Nothobranchius furzeri: one gene and its partner. The protein of the gene in region 1 interacts with the protein of each later gene in a biochemical or structural test. Links are inferred from orthologs where the notes say so. Each region holds a gene or a part of one and is shown in the gene's direction. Other genes may lie near its edges. The genes, in order: cyth2 and arf6b.

Region 1 (8,355 bases):
AAATCGTTCTTGAGCTCCGTCCTAATACGAGATCACACCAGATACATGAAAGCAGAACTGTTTCTGTAGTTTTACACTTTTTCTGAGCTCCAGCTGTTATTTTCCTGCACCTGTTTACCAGGTGGAGGAAGTATTTTGATGCAACTGAATCAGCGTGGAGAAGCAAAAACAAACCATTCACGATCGAATGTTAGCCATTACTGACATATTTGCATTCTGCCTGCTTGTTTAGCCAGTGGATGCACGCTGCTGAAGATGTCGGTGATGCTGGTCTTTGCATCTTATTGACCATAAAATAATGCCCGAACAAAGCGAGCTGCTTTCTCTCTGCTACTTTTGTTTGAATGAAAGAGAGTAAATCAGATGTGATTAGCTGCCTTTTAGCCTTTCGGCGTCACGTCCAAACATTAATAAGCCCCAATTGTGTAGAAGGTGGTGCACAAAAACTGACATTAAAGCATCACAGAAAGATGCATACTAATAGATAAGTACTAAAATCAGAGGAATGTTATTAAGAGAGGGTTTGATTGATAAACTGGATGCACTAGCATTGTTTTAGTGAAGAAATAAATTATTGCTTTTATTTATTGCTGTAATTTGAACACAAATGTAGAAAGTTAGAGTTTACAGACAGACATAATACATTTTTAAAAACGACAAGACTAAAATAAGGCAGCGCTGTTTTCTTAGATCGGCTTTAACTAAGATGGAAGACAAACGAACAACTTGCACTGTGATTAATCAGCTGCAAAGCCAGCCCGCTGAACTCACACTGAAGCCTGTTGAGAACAGTAATACTTCCAAAAGTAGCATTCAATCAGATATGATATTTTGGAGGGTGACGTACTGTTTAAACATTAATTTTGTTATCGTCAAACCTGCTGAAACACTCAACCTCCGCTAAATCATTAGCATGTGTAATGTAGGAATCGGTAAAATCACCTGCCAACTGCTTGGATCACCATCAGCATACCGTATTTGTCAAATCGATGCCTTTGTGTAATAAGCCTGTAAATTCCGGCTGCTAATGATGAACTGTTTAAACCCGACCGCAACGAATGGAGTTAAAAAAAAAAAGATTTGTTTCTGCCTTGTTTCCCTTTTTGAGTGCACAATACAACTAATCTACCAACGCTGCTTTGAGCTTACACAGCTACCAATGCTAGTACACTTTGAGGCTAAGCTTGTAATATTACTAAAACAGAAAATGATACATACACTTTGGGCGAAAAGTTGTTGCCAAAATGTTTACTCTTGGTGTTGAAGAGCCTAGTCATGACCGTTTACTTTCCTAGACCAGCGTCGTCAGTGGCCAGAGCCGGGACCATGGTGTTGTAGACCAATTTGCTATGACGGTGTCCAGTTGAAAATGCTATGAATTTGTCTGTAGTAAACTACCTGTAATCAAATGGTAATTATTACTAAATCAATGAAATGTATACAAATGCAGTGTACCAATTATAGTTATCTGTTTGCAAATAAATGTAACTTCATACATTTGTCTTGTGTAAAATCATTTGTCTTTCTAACGTGTCTCTGAAAAAGATTAGAGTATTTTTGCTTTAGATTTTACTTTAAAGGTCTCTTACCTCAATCTTATTTATCTAAGATGAAATATTCACTCCATCTGAAACGTGTACTAACTGCTTTTACTAGGGATGCCCAGATCTGATCGCGTGATTGGAAATTGGTCCTGATCGGTCAGAACTGGACAGTACCTCCCGATCCAGACTCGGGATACATATAATTTATTTATTTTTTTAACAATTTAACACAGACTTGGACCTCTTGACTCCACACTGAAACAGCAACCTGTGCGGCATGACATCTCTTTGTTGGTTAAACGCTGGCAAAGTGGAACATGGAAGTAGAAAAGCGCAAGTATGTAGAAGAAGAAGAAAATATCATTTCTATAGCGCCTCTCGATCAAAATCACGAGGCGCTTCACAAAAACAAAACATGTAAAAATATAAAAAAGCATTTAGAAAATGTTTAAAAATATATTAAAATGAGCAAAAATAGGCAATTGTGATTAAAAAAGTTAAGAAAGAGAGAGAGTAAACAGGAAAGAGGGAAATCGGTGGGTCCTGAGGAAGGTGGAATAGGTGGGGAGAGCAGAATAAAGAGAGAGAGGTGAAGAAGGTCATACAAAAGCCAGCTTGAACAGGTGAGTCTTCAGCTGCTTTTTAAAGGAGACCACTGAGTCCACTGATCTCAGGCTCAGGGGGAGAGAGGTCCAGAGTCTGGGGGCCACAGCAGCAAATGATCTGTCACCTTTGACCTTTAGCCTGGTGCTGCACAACCAGTAGGCTTTGGTCACTGGACCTGAGGGACCTGCTGGGGGTGTAGGGACTAAGAAGATCACCAATGTAAGATGGTGCTTGTCCATGTAAGGCCCTATAGACCAGAACCAGGATCTTGAAATGAACCCTGAAGTTGACTGGCAGCCAGTGAAGCTGGATGTATGCAGTCTTGGGAGGTAAAAAGTTGATGACAACATTAAACTGAAGTCCAAAAGTGAAGAATTTTGGTATTTATTACTTGATTGTTCAAGAAGTGCTCTGTTTGTTACTAGAGGAACATCCTGGATCTGTTTCTTTGCTCGTTTTCATTATTTTTTAAATGTATGATAGAAGTTTTGGATCAGGACTTGGTATCGGTTGATGCTCAAAATTAAATGACTCAGTCTCGAGAGCAAAAGAACCTGATCAGGTCAGCCCTAGTTTGGACATGGATATTTTACCAAACTGACAAATCAAATGCCTGGCTTGGATTGTGTTAAAAGTGCAGTATGTAGGGATACAGTGAGAAAATACCAAAAGTGTGTTGTCATTTTGCAAGGAAAGTTTTACTGGAACATATTTCACATCCAGCTGGCTGTTGGATTGTCAGTTTTTCTCCTTTCAAAACAAAGGAAGGAGTGACGTAACTGCTGTTTACCATCAGTGAGTGTGGGGTCGCCATGTCTCCCGTGAGTTAATATTGCAGTGCCAACTATTATAATTTGATGACGGTCAGCAAAAAGCTCCAGTTGTTTAAAGTGGTTGCAGTAACCACATTTTACCACAGGATATACTTTTTACTTCATTTCTACATAATGCACCTTTAAGACAAACTTAAAATAAACCCTCAGTTCTTCACTTCATTGGTGATTTTGGTTTGGGTTGTAAAAGCAACTAAAAAGTTGGATACAACAGTCTGGACTGAACTTGCATTAGGTTGCTCCTCTGATACAATCAAATGTACTAAAGAGTTTCTATACTATGAATTAGACTCTTCATACCAAAAGGTGATTAGCCAAATTGCAAGATTAATTTTCATTTTGTAGGCCAAATGGGTGTTACTGATACAAAGCAAATTGTCATATTGGGTAATAATGGGCTTTATATACAATCTGAAATATAATTTGAGATCAAGCTGGCACCATATCAGCGATCAACTCAACTATTGCTATTAGCCTAGTCTGGAGCAAAATGCAAAGAACAAACTTCAGTGATGAGTGTTTTAGTGAAACCAAATCAGAGTTTAAAATGAAGTTAAACCAGAATAATAGGAAACCCCCCTGCCTAATCTCCTTTCTTTTAGATTTCTCATGTTAACAGAAAAATCACTGGACCCACACGGAAACTGGAGTATATTTTATACAAAATTGTAATTTATAATTAATGAGGGATAGTAATAAATGGTTAAGTCTTAAACATTCAACTTTGTATTTTTTGTATATTGTGCATTATGCTAAAGTGAATTTTGTTGTTTTATTTTGAAAGTTGACTGACCGGAAGTCGATCGACACCGCTTCCGGTGTCGCCACCTTCTTTGTCTACGGCCCAGGATTTCAACACCAGGGGATGTCAATTTTTTCCTTTTAGTTCTGTGGATATATTTCCTAATATATCCCCAATTTTCTGACATTTAATGACAGTCGACTCTGAACTATTTATGCCTAAAAATAAAGCGCCAAAAATGGATGACCTGGACTACAGTAAGTGGGCTTACTGAGTCGGTCTTTTCGGAACGCCGCCGTAGCTAACTGGCTAGCTGTGTCGCTTTTGGTTGACTTTATATTTGCTCCGTTAGACTAACTTCTCCCGGTGATCATACCAGTCGTCTTTTTTGTTCTCTATAAAAACGTGTGTACGTATTTAGCATGTATGTAGAAATAAGCCGCAACTGCATATTGTTTTTGCTAATTAACTATTGATTCTGTCGGTGTTTGTTCTTGGCTAACTTTACAGCTAACCTCGGTGGACATGATTTACGCATCAAACTGCATATAAAGGTCTTATAAGCGATTAATTATAACATAAAAGCCTCTAAAGTCTCGTAAGTAATAAACATTTAGGTATGTAGAAAAATGTATGCTTTGGGTGTGGCATTTTATTGTTTTGGGGGGTTACAATGGTTTGGGGATTTTAAAAATATCCACCAAGAGCTTACATTTTCTACGTGGTTTGAATTGATTAGTTTAAAGGCGAAATGTTAACAGAAAATTAACTACCCGTTTCTAGCATCACTACAATGTTTAGTTGAGAGAGTTGCTGTTGGTTTCTGCTGTAATATTGTTGGTCCAGTTGAAAGCTGCAGGTGGTGGTGCTGTTGAATTTCATTGAATTGCACTTCCAAATGTCTTCAATGGACATCAGGCTGTGTCATTAAATCACACCCACCTTCAGCAGGACAAAAATAATTCTAGTTGTTTAATGACAAAATACACATTGTAAGGTGTTGGTGCTTTCAAATATAAAATTATTGGGAAATTTACCAACTTGCACCAGTTTTACTTCAAATGAAAACCACGCAGCTAGCAAGGAAATGCTGAGTTCTTTCAGGCTTTTCATGTGCAATTCATAATTTTAGTATTTTTAATTAGTTTTAATAAAACAAACATTTTCTCCCACTAGTGGAGATTGCTTTTGACCTAGATTCTTTGGGCACAGCTAACGTTTTGTTGGTTCTGCAGCACCAATGCTGTCATTCTCTTGTCTTCCCCTGCAGTCCCAGTAGACCTGAGCCCAGAGGAGCGCTCTGAGCTGGAGGACATTCGTAGGAGGAAGGGCGTCCTGCTGCAGGAGATCCAGAGGCTCAGGGAGGAGTTGAGGGAGGCTATTTTAGAAGTGGAGGGACTAGAGAGCAGCACAGAGGGCAGGTAAAGAAATTCTTATTTACTATAAATCAAAGAAATAGCATTGCAGCTTTTGACCTAAATCAACACAATATGCACAGATTTTTAAACTTGTGTGTTAGTTTTTCATGTTTCTATTAGTATTTATTGTGTTTTTGTTTCCAATAACTTGTTGGTGTCTTAAAAGAAGTATGCGGTTTAATTGAGTTAACTTGTGTTGTTTCTGCAGTAAAACTCTTCAAAAAAGTCGGCACGTAGCGATGGGAAGGAAGAAATTCAACATGGACCCTAAAAAGGTAACACTGTCCTTTAGATTTGCTGATTTTGATATTTTTCTGGGATTGCTCTTTTCATTTATGGACTATTTCTGCAGGGTATTACGTTTTTGGTAGAGAATGAGCTGCTCAGACACACACCAGAAGACATCGCTCAGTTCTTGTACAAAGGAGAAGGCCTCAACAAGACTGCCATAGGAGACTACCTGGGAGAGAGGTGGGAGGTGTTGAAGTGTCTTTTGTTCCTGTCGTCTCTTTCATGCAGCCGTTTGTAACTGTGGTCTGTTTTGCTGCAGAGATGACTTCAACATCAAAGTGCTTCAAGCTTTTGTCGACCTCCACGAGTTCACAGATCTCAACCTCGTCCAGGCTCTCAGGTGAACTGCATCCACTTCTGTTGGTTCTGCATTATATGAAGCTATTAACATGTAATCGGGGATTCTCTAGTGGACAAACATGCCCAACAATGGAACCCCCCCCCCCCTTCTCTCAGATTGGGTTGGAACAACATTATGCAACAAGTCAAAACTGACTATGTAACTCTGCCTTAGTGGCTGAATTTGATCTCTTAGGCTTGACCCGAACCCTGTCCTGTTTTCTACAGACAGTTCCTGTGGAGCTTCCGTTTGCCTGGTGAAGCACAGAAAATCGACAGAATGATGGAGGCCTTTGCTCAGAGATATTGTCACTGCAACCCCGGCGTCTTCCAGAGCACCGGTAATCACAAAACAAACCGTTTTTCTCGTAGGGCTAGTAGTAATGCCATTTTTAACCAGCATGAATCTTATTTTAAAATATTTTTTGCACCTTTAGATGTGTTTTGTTTTGAGCTGGCCCTTTTACACCACATTTCTGCCTTACGGTGCTCTTTTCTTATTTATTTTTTATGAGTTCTGTGTTTGTTCAAGCGAAGCCAAAGTGACTAAAGGTATTTTTGCCAAAGGTCGGCCCTCACATAATCTGCCCCTGACCAGAAAGCATTCCCTCTTAACATTTATACACACCTTTCATTAAAGGCAGTTAGTGTTGTTTTTCATTGTTTCCGTCAATTGTTCTGTAATGTTTTACATGTAGTCAGGTTTCCCTTTGCTTCAGGCACAATAAGCTCAGCAGGATTAACACGTTGCAACATAAGTCCACATATCTGTACTGCAGGCTGGGATGATGGAAGAGAAATTGTTCAGCCAGTTCCAAACATCCACTTAGAGCAGAAAATATGCAAACATAACCCATGCTCTGCTGTAAAGTGTGTTTCTGTTGACTCTCTTAGTTCTTCTCTTTCCTCTCCTGTTTGCAGACACGTGTTATGTGCTTTCGTTTGCTATAATAATGTTGAACACAAGCCTCCATAACCCAAATGTGAGGGACAAACCTGGACTGGACCGTTTCATCTCAATGAACCGAGGCATCAATGAGGGGGGGGACCTGCCCGAGGAGCTGCTCAGAGTACGAGTCACTGGATGCCCCGTTAGAATATTTATGAGCTTGTTTATTTATTTGTTTATTTGTCTTGTTTGGTTTTCCAGAATCTGTATGAAAGCATTAAAAACGAGCCCTTTAAGATCCCAGAGGACGACGGGAACGACCTGACGCACACGTTCTTCAACCCAGACAGGGAGGGCTGGCTTCTCAAACTCGGTATTTTGACCCTGATCTCGTGTAATCTGTAGCTGAGGAGCTCGGTGTGTGATGCCGGTATCAGGACAAAGTGTTACATTCTGTACTTTCACCTCTCTGTGTTGTGATGACCTTGTCCTCCTGTCTCTGAGGCTCGTCGCCTCTTTGTCTCCACCTGAATCATCGCCTCACACCGTGGCAGTGTTTAAACATCTCCATGGTGTGTTGGTGAAAGACGCGCTCACTCCTGTGTGCCGTGGCAGTTTGGACATCTGTTTGTTTTCTTTTTGCATGACGGCGACCTGTGATCAACGTGTCACTAATACGATCTCCGTCCCCTCTTCTACCTCCCTTCTAAATCCTCCGGTTTCTTTTTGTCTCTGCTTCTTCCCTGAAATTTCCACCCTCTACTGCCGCTGCTTGTTTTCTCAGGAGGTATGTACTGAAGAGCGTCCAAAAAGTTGTAGAAGTATTAGTAGGTCGTAGTTAGAATACAGAATTCGTAGCTTGGTAGAGTAAAAGTTCAAATCCTTTTTTTTTTCTTTTAACTTCCATCTCTTATTGTCCTGTTGTGACTTTTTCCCAGGAGGACGAGTGAAAACCTGGAAACGTCGATGGTTCATTCTTACCGATAATTGCCTTTATTACTTTGAATACACCACAGTAAGTATTTAATGCAACAACCATAAGAAGTATTTTATTATGTTTAGAATTTAAACTGAGTAGTTGTTTCAGATTAGCCTGGCAAGCCATCCTATATATGTAAATATGTAGTCCGACCCATTGAAACAACCCGGTCGTGGGGCAGAATCGAAGGTTGTCTTTCTAACAGTCTGCGCACGTAATCGGATAGCGCCAGGACCAATCAGCAACAAATAATGTGACGTGTTATTTGCTATGTACATCAGTCAACGGGGCAGTCTGACACACACCTCTGTCTGCTCATGATTCCCAAGAAAAGCCCAAGTCTAAATCATCCACAGGGTATCCGCGGGTCCTTAAAAAGTCTTAAAAAGTCTTAAATTTGCTTTTCCAAATTTAAGGCCTTAAAAATCCTTAAAAATGACAAACAATCCTTAAATACAGTTTCCAACGGTCTTAAATGTCCAAAGACCCAATAAACAAGATTATTTTCTTTCCATAAAATTTTTATAAATTTCTAGTTAGTGTTCAGCAATTTTTGTGTATAATGTTGGCGTAAGCGGAACCGTACACATTCAGTTGGTTGTGAAAGGGGGCTATTTTTACATGAGCACATTAGCTGGTTAAGCTAGTGGGAGCTTGCACCATGGGGAAGTGAAAGTTTAATGGTAACTGGATGGCTAATCCCACGTTGGCGAC
Region 2 (8,151 bases), on another chromosome or scaffold:
AGCACAACAATATCAGCCTCCTACTGACCCCTAGAGGTCAATCTAAGGTATTACATCGTTAAACATGTATTTTAAATCAGGACTCTTACCTGCACGACACATCCAGATATTTGTTTTTTTATGAATATGTGATCAACCTACAATCATTTCCTAAAAAAGTGGTTTGTTTATTTATATGCAACTGTACAAGTCTCTGTGGCAAATGTAATGAGGTGGTGGAGTAATATGCACACTCCAAAACCAGAGTACCTTCCTTTTAACGCGTGATGATGCAGATGAGCAGCGTTTGAGGGATCTATAACACCTAATTTATGTATTTTTGCACCTAATCAGAAAGACTTTGCAGCTATATTTTAAAGTAGTACACCTTAAACAGATGTTTGCAGGTCTTTCAGGTTACATTTACATATTTTCTGCAATAATTTTTAGACATTTTTGGAGTGAGATATCTGTGCATTAATGTGCGTCTAGAAAAGTATTCCTGTAGGGAGAAATGTTGTTTTACTATTTGTGAGGAAGAGCTCCATTTAGACGTACGAAATAAATAAGTTTAACCACTCCTAATTTCATGATACGCTACAATAAATTAACTATTTTCTTGATTCTTGGATAATCCAACACTTTACAGATCATTGTGAGCTGGTTAAATCTTACAGGACCTTTGAATGTTATTTTGTATCCCCGGGTGTTGTGTAATTCCACAGGTCAACATCTGGTTATTCAATGAAGGATGACGTTTCACCTATAAGGAGATTTAGTCTCATCCCCTTCCGATCGGCTCACGGGTCCCGACTGTAAAAAACAATAATAATGTAGGCGAACGGCGCGGAGCTATAAAGGTTATTTTGTGGCCTTATGCCCTGAATCACACATATGTTGTACTTCAATTTAAATGATAAATAAGTATTCAGACTATGTCTGTCCCATAATTTGAGGTTTGCTTGCTTGTAAAAAATACTTAATTTAAACTACAAATCAGACGTCACATGTATGACATCACAGCAGAATCTTTTCTCCCCCGGTGCAGCTGGTACTGTCCACATGGCCAGATTTAAAGTGGTTTTCTCCATGTTTAATGTCCCTCCTTTCATTCTGGAAGAAGGATGTGAAGCTCGCTAAACTCACTGACATTTTTCTTCTTGTCTGATTTGATGATGTATTGTTTGAGACAATTATTAAGAGTTCTTTACGTGTTTTCACACAAAAACCTAAAGTTACTTTTGCCACCAGAACATGTATTTGAAAGTCACACGTCACATACCAAACGGATCAGAAAATAACTCAACTATTATCGAGCCATAGACTCCCATTCATTTTGGGGGGATTTTGGCATACCAATTGACCGGAAGTAGATGGACTCTCTCCATACAAGGAGCAACTTTTTATTTTGTTTGCATTAATTTTGTTTGCCCTATGTGTAGCAATTTGTGATGCATACTAATGCATGAAATCTTATTTATGAATAGAGTTTTATTCAATAAATATTAAATTATTTCTGCTCAGAGTTACACTATTATTTTATTTTTTAACGTGCTCCTGCGTGCTACACCATGGCGCACCAACCCTGTTATGACCAGTTGCGTTAAGCTGATCCGCAAGCTATTTTTACGTGACTGTCACGCAAAACTTAATCCAAGCCTCGTGTTGTTGAGAGGAGACATGTTCTGAACAAGCACCTGAACGCAACACCGGACGCTTCCTGAACGCCCCAGGGTCTAGTGCACTAAAATAGCACCGTTAGCTGAACATACCGTTATCGTGCAGCGTCATCCCGATGGTTCCCCCGGTGTTGATGACCAGCACTCGGGACTCGTCGGCGTAAGGTGAAGTCAGTAGCTCACCGTTCTCGACGGAGCTGCACTTTGACAGCCTTCTCATTCGGCTCGGGTGTCTCTGGAGGGTGGCTGTCGGAGAAATATCATTAAACTCGATCTGCTGAAGGGAAGTTTGAGACAGAGCTCGGCCCAGGGAGCTCGGGGAGTCGCAGTTGGAGTCCGCCATGGTGCCTTGAAGAGGTGTTTGTTCCTTGAAGGGATGAGAATACGGTGGTCTGGATGAGCTCTCAGCGCCCTGCCTCATACAATGTCTCCCCGTTTATACACAAAGCAGCTTGCGTGGGTTGAGGCTTTCACCAGAAGTGTGACTATTAATGTTGTCATATTTTAATTTCTAGCTCTTCCCCTGAAACCATCGCCTGAAACACGCGCATCCTAATCACCTCAAGTTTTGCCCTTAAAATTTTTGAAGGAGACACGTTTTCTCTGACGTCACCAAATGAAGGCGTGGCTCGGTGCTGGAGTTCAAGTGTAGCAAGCCATTCTAACATTTATCCAAGACAAAATTCCTGATAGTCCAAGCTTTCTTGTGTTCTGTAAACTTATTTTAGGGATTTTACAATTAAAATTGTTACAAAATAATTTTCAGATGAAAAAAATCGCAAATGTATAAATGGCTTTTTAAACTTTCAATTGTAAAATTGGTTAATACTTCCAGATAATTTGAATCAATGTTTCCTGGTCTAAGTGAAAAATGTGCATACATCAAAAATGTTTCATGTGGGTAAGGTTTTCAGCTGTATAGGACAACAAGTGCGTCTTTCCCATTTTTTGTCAAAGGAATCCATGTCTGAATTAGTGTTTTTTTTATTCTTGTGATAATTCGTTTTTTTTATTAGAATAAAAAAAATTATTTTGCTTATTCAAGATTATTTTTCGTGTTGTGTTTTGGAGTTCAATCTGTAGATAATACACATCTGTTCCATTTGATTTAAAGGTGTTTATAAAAACCTCAGTAGATTATTACAAAACCAGGTTCAGTCCAAGAGCCAACACCATCTTTGTAAATTTTCTTTGTCACAGCTCTGGCGCTAAGCCCGCACAACAAACATAGAGTGTTGTGATTGACAAGATACAAAAGTGTTCGGGCCAGTGGTAGACCTGCTGAGGCTACAATGGAGTGTTTCTATACTAACCTGGAATCAAATTATTTTTGCTGCTTCTTTGGTTGGTCTAGATTTTGAGGTTAAGAGAACTGAGCTGTGGGAATGAAGGTAATGACAAACTTTGTCCTAAGAATATGTTCATTTTGAGTAATATTGTTATTGCAATCAAAAATGTGAATTAGACGAGGAAGAAATAACTAGTTGTCTAGTTGTCTTACCATACATGAAGTTTTCCATGAAGATATAACTTTTCCAAATTAAAACATTTAGCAATAGAAAACAAATTGTCTACCATTTTTCTACCATCTAATAAATTCTTTACATTTATTTTTAATACAGTTTGAATTAGACAATAAAGGGCAAATAAAAAAATACGTATATTTGTAAATATCTGAAATGTAAGTTGATTTAATTATAGCCTCACAATTGTTGCTCTTGGTTTAATTTGCTCGAGAGCTAATGAATATAATACAAACGACCTAAGATGGCATCCAACATCTATTGACTGTGAATTCGTGGAAAACATTTTTTTAATTACTGAACTAGAATAAATTACGTTTTGGTTCCTGTCTAACCAATAAATGTTTAACGAAAGCCAAAGCAAAGAAAATAATTGATTGCTATATAACATTTTCCCACTCGCAGTTGAGAATTTATTTATTTGTTTATTTGTTTGTTTTGCTGACAGGTGAAGATGAAAGCAAGTTAAAATGTGTGCAGTTTGATTATGTTATACAACGGCCTGCCAAAAGACGGAACCAGTTTAATGGAGCAGACGAGAGGAAGTGGCTGTTGATGCAGTTCCACACCTTTCCGGTGTAGCAGGAGTGCGGCCAGCTCCAGTTAAAGAAGGAAGACAAGAGCTGAGTAAATTTATCGAGTCTGGAGGGAAATAAACGGGTAAATACCGTACCTTTGCACAAACCAGTATGAAATATGCAACTGTATACTGGGCAATGTGTCACCGATGCGTGTTTTGATGTTTTCATTTCAGTAGTTTACTGCAGCTAACTGGCTATCGCTAGTTAGCTTAGCTAATGCTAGCTGACTAACAGCCACGAGCGATAGCTGGCTAATTTTTCATGTCTGACCCTCCCCCTAAATCTCTTTTCAGTGCGACCAGAGTTTCCTGAGTGGGCCTTTTCTAACCGAGTCACTGGGATTTGTTTCTACCGTAATCGTCCCTTTGAGCGCGGTGTGACCGCCCGTCGCGACCTCCTTTGAAGAAGCCGCATATAGCGGCAGTTTCTCCCCAGGCAGCAGTGTACTGAACAAGGGCGCACCCGGTGAGGAGAACCGCCTCATACAACTAACACCAGGAGAAAATCACCTTCAGCATCGCGGCTTTTTTGGAGGGCCTCTTAACACACGCTGAATATCTCTGTCCCACGGCCAGTGTTTGTCCCAAATAACTTTATTTTTGTTTAGTTTTAAAGACAATGACTAGCCTGCAACTGCTGCTGCCAAGTTCCTAGTCCCACTGTGTCATGCTGTTTGTAGGCTCACGCAGAGGTTTGATCATCTGAACTTTAATGTTTTTGCGCTCAAAAGGATCCTGACAGGCTTCCCGGAAAACTATAGTAATCCTTTTTAGGTTTGAATATGTGTTTTTGATTTTTGGCCCAAATATCCCTTTTTTTTTATTCACGCTTTCACCAATACTGAAATCAAACACCTACAAATACATTATCAGACTTTTTTTTTCCCCTTTGGAACAAAATATTTATGCCCAAGAGTTCAAAATGGGGAAAATGCTCTCAAAGATCTTTGGCAACAAGGAGATGAGAATATTGATGCTTGGACTGGATGCTGCTGGGAAAACAACAATCCTTTACAAACTGAAACTGGGACAGTCTGTGACCACAATCCCTACAGTTGGCTTCAATGTGGAAACAGTCACTTACAAAAACGTCAAGTTCAATGTCTGGGATGTCGGAGGCCAGGACAAGATCCGTCCGCTGTGGCGACACTACTACACAGGCACCCAGGGCTTAATTTTTGTAGTGGATTGCGCAGACAGGGATCGCATAGACGAAGCGAGACAAGAACTTCACCGCATCATTAACGACCGGGAGATGAGAGATGCCATCATCTTGATATTTGCCAATAAGCAAGACCTTCCAGACGCCATGAAGCCACATGAAATCCAAGAGAAGCTGGGTTTGACCCGCATCAGAGATCGGAATTGGTACGTTCAGCCCTCCTGTGCAACCACGGGCGATGGACTGTATGAGGGGCTGACGTGGCTAACCTCAAATTACAAATCTTAATGAGTGCTGACTGTTTTAGGTCAAAGCATCCAAAAAAAGTAACAATTTCTCAAAAAATGTGTACGGTTAAGAAAAATTGATAATCTTCATTTATTTTGTTTATCCCTTGACTAATTTATCTTTAGCTGGGTTTGCTGGCTTAAAGTTTGCTTGTGTTCTGCAGCAGGCCTGAATTACAGTTATTAATGGGGCTTGCTTGAATATTGAAACAATTGGTCCTAAGGTTTAAAGCTATAGAGATCACCACATTTGCCTATTTTCTTCCTGTTTTATATAGTTTATATTATTCTAAGTTTTTAATCTTCATTTTCTGAAGCTGTTATGTCTTTGTTCAAGTCGGATCACTTATTTTTCTTCAACAGTCAGCGCTTTAATGTCGTGTAGCCTACTCGAAGGACTTGGGAAGTTTTGTTAACAGTACTGTGGCAAAAAACAGGAGGGGGTGAAATCTGGAGAGAAAAAAACGACTTTTCAGTCATTAGTCATCAAAGAAAAAACACGTTTTGTTACCCCCTCTGAACTTTTTAAGTGGGCTATCCAGTTAACTGATTGACCATTTTGTGTCATGTCTTGATATCTAATTGTGCTGAGTATTAAACAAATAGGCCACCAGTAACAGAAACATGCTTGTGGAAGTGCATTTTTTAAATGAGGGTAGTTGGCTCAATCTTTCCAAAGGAATGTCATTCAGCTCTGAAATCGCAACCTGATCTCACGGTTGGTTAGTCTCAGTGATTGGGACATTATATGATAGCCTATATCTGTAGCATGAGTACATCAAGTACATTAACCCTACCTACATCAGAGTCCATCTGTCGGTGCAGTCAGGGAGAGCCGTTATCTGGTGAGGTCGACACTCTGGGGTGCAGCGCTTACTCCTGTTTTGACTGGGGAACTGTACACAGAACAATGTCATTGTAATGTATTATTAAAAAAACAATTTTAAATAATTAATGTCTGTTTTATTGTATTTCATCAGGAATTAAAGATGAATCCACTTTAGCTTGTAGCTGATAAATCAGTTTTTAGTCAACTTTTGAGTCTAAAAGCTGGCCTCAGCTCCTTTTGCCAGTGGACGGGGAAAATGTCCCAAACAGGAAGTCCAGCCTCGGCCTTGTCTTGGAGCAAAGCCACATGTCGACTGAAAGGGCAGCGCTGAAAAACAGCTGATGGGGACTGGATTTGAATGCTGCATGTTGGTTTTGAGCCATATCGATGCTAGCAGGAAGTTGTGACGTCCTGAACTTATCTCTCTGAATCCGCTTCAATTCATTAAGATAAGATAATACCTTTTATTTGTGCCTCAATGGGGAAATTGTGTTATTGCAACAGCTCAAGTACAGTAGAATAGCAGCAGTAGCACACGAAAGATAACACACGAGTAGAATTATACGTTAGGATAAGTACTGCACACCGATAGAGGACTTGGAGCTTTCAGGTCTATAAAACTCCGAAGGTTTTGGTCAGACTGATTAGGTGACAAAACCACAATAACTCAGCTTCTGTGGGAAATATTTACAGCAAATAAACTTTAAACAGTCACGTCCCATTAATAAAACAAGTGTGCTGTGGCAAAGGGAGCTCTTGTTTTCAATCTTCATTAAAACAACACAACTTTATTAGCAACAAGGAAGGAGACAGAGATGAGATCCCTCAGGAAATGTTTGGGAATGGGGTTTCAGGAAGCTCAGAAATAGACCCATCCATCTCGTTTGGTAGTAAAAGAGGCTAAACTGTTGATGAACTCTTACTTTTGTTTGTGCAAGTGTGTACGGATATTGTCTTCCTGTTCCCATGACAACAGACCTATCTGCAGTGTGGCTGGTTTCAAAACAGAGGCTGACCTGGAAGTTGCTTAATTCTACATGAAATCAGGAAGAGGGGTTGGTAATCGAACCCCCCCCCCCCCCTCCCTAATATCGTCATCGCAGTATCAATCACTGTCATTGCCTATCGCAGGTTTTCCTAATGTGATGCAGTCCTATTTTATGGTGACCACTGGCAGACCTTCAGAAAACAGCGACTCATTAAGGAGGCTGTGTTCCGCTCTTACCAAACCTAACTTGAACTGTCATCATGCTTCTCAGGGGTGTGGTTTGTCTGACTCATTTGTCTCTGTTTCCTCTGAGCTCCTTCTGCAAACTTCTGCAGGTTTCTATTATTACACTGAACCGACTGGGGTTGCCGGCTTAATTCTGGCCTACGCTTCAGCCGCCGCACCCTTACAGGTCATCACTGCAGAATTCGCCAAACCCAGACATTTTTACTCTACAAAGCCCAACACTATTATTACGGTAGTTTATTTATCTGGTGATTTTGCTGGAAGGAACGCCTACTTTACACTTCATTTGTTACCTTTTGGTCCAATGACTGCTTATCCTCAGGGGCACTAAATGACCTGTTGGGTTGTGAAATTGCTCCCTCCCTGTCAACTCGGTCATTCCTCTGCAGCCTCCTCAAGCGCATTAGTCCTGAACTCGTGGAGAGCTGAGTTTAAAACAGGTGCGGAAGTGGATAAAGCCGTGTTTGGTTTCCTGTTTGAGGTCATGGGTGTTGAGCGTCGTGATAAGTATCGCCATGATGCGTCTTTGTTTTTCTCTGCCATGACCCAAGCTTATTTTGACTTCAGGTGTTTCAGTGCAGGGTTTATACAAACTGCTGTGGTAGGCAAGCCACATAAGATCGAAAATGTGCAGCCCTGGAGTCCAAGGTACTCTGGGCAGTGGTCCAAAACACATTCCAGTCATATCTCCAGCTGAAGGCTTGCTGTGGTGAAATTGCTAATCCAGGGAAACCGTAAAGTTATCATGAAGAGCTGTGCATCTACCTGACACGCTTAACTTCAACAAGTTCAACCATAAACAATTAAAATATCCAGTTTTTTAGTTACAATTCATCATGTGGGAATGCCCACACCGACCTTCGTGGGAATTTACAGAT

The links.
Region 2: the proteins of cyth2 (region 1) and arf6b form a complex in vitro, tested with the Homo sapiens proteins (3 studies listed by BioGRID and IntAct, with this or other methods). The link is inferred for Nothobranchius furzeri from reciprocal best matches to the Homo sapiens genes CYTH2 and ARF6.

The regions. Positions count from the first base shown.
Region 1 is NC_091745.1:76,530,382-76,538,736, forward strand, and holds the start of cyth2 (cytohesin-2), read left to right. Parts: upstream 1-3,781; 5' UTR 3,782-3,915; coding exon 3,916-3,982; intron 3,983-4,995; coding exon 4,996-5,146; intron 5,147-5,351; coding exon 5,352-5,418; intron 5,419-5,495; coding exon 5,496-5,614; intron 5,615-5,693; coding exon 5,694-5,774; intron 5,775-6,001; coding exon 6,002-6,114; intron 6,115-6,694; coding exon 6,695-6,843; intron 6,844-6,923; coding exon 6,924-7,035; intron 7,036-7,600; coding exon 7,601-7,677; intron 7,678-8,355. UniProt on the Homo sapiens protein: Acts as a guanine-nucleotide exchange factor (GEF). Promotes guanine-nucleotide exchange on ARF1, ARF3 and ARF6. Activates ARF factors through replacement of GDP with GTP.
Region 2 is NC_091758.1:32,004,874-32,013,024, forward strand, and holds arf6b (ADP-ribosylation factor 6b), read left to right. Parts: upstream 1-3,719; 5' UTR 3,720-3,841; intron 3,842-4,055; 5' UTR 4,056-4,683; coding exon 4,684-5,211; 3' UTR 5,212-5,833; downstream 5,834-8,151. Other genes in the region: aspg (60 kDa lysophospholipase), read right to left, coding at 1,752-2,079. UniProt on the Homo sapiens protein: GTP-binding protein involved in protein trafficking that regulates endocytic recycling and cytoskeleton remodeling. GTP-bound form plays an important role in the transport of multiple palmitoylated proteins form the Golgi to the plasma membrane.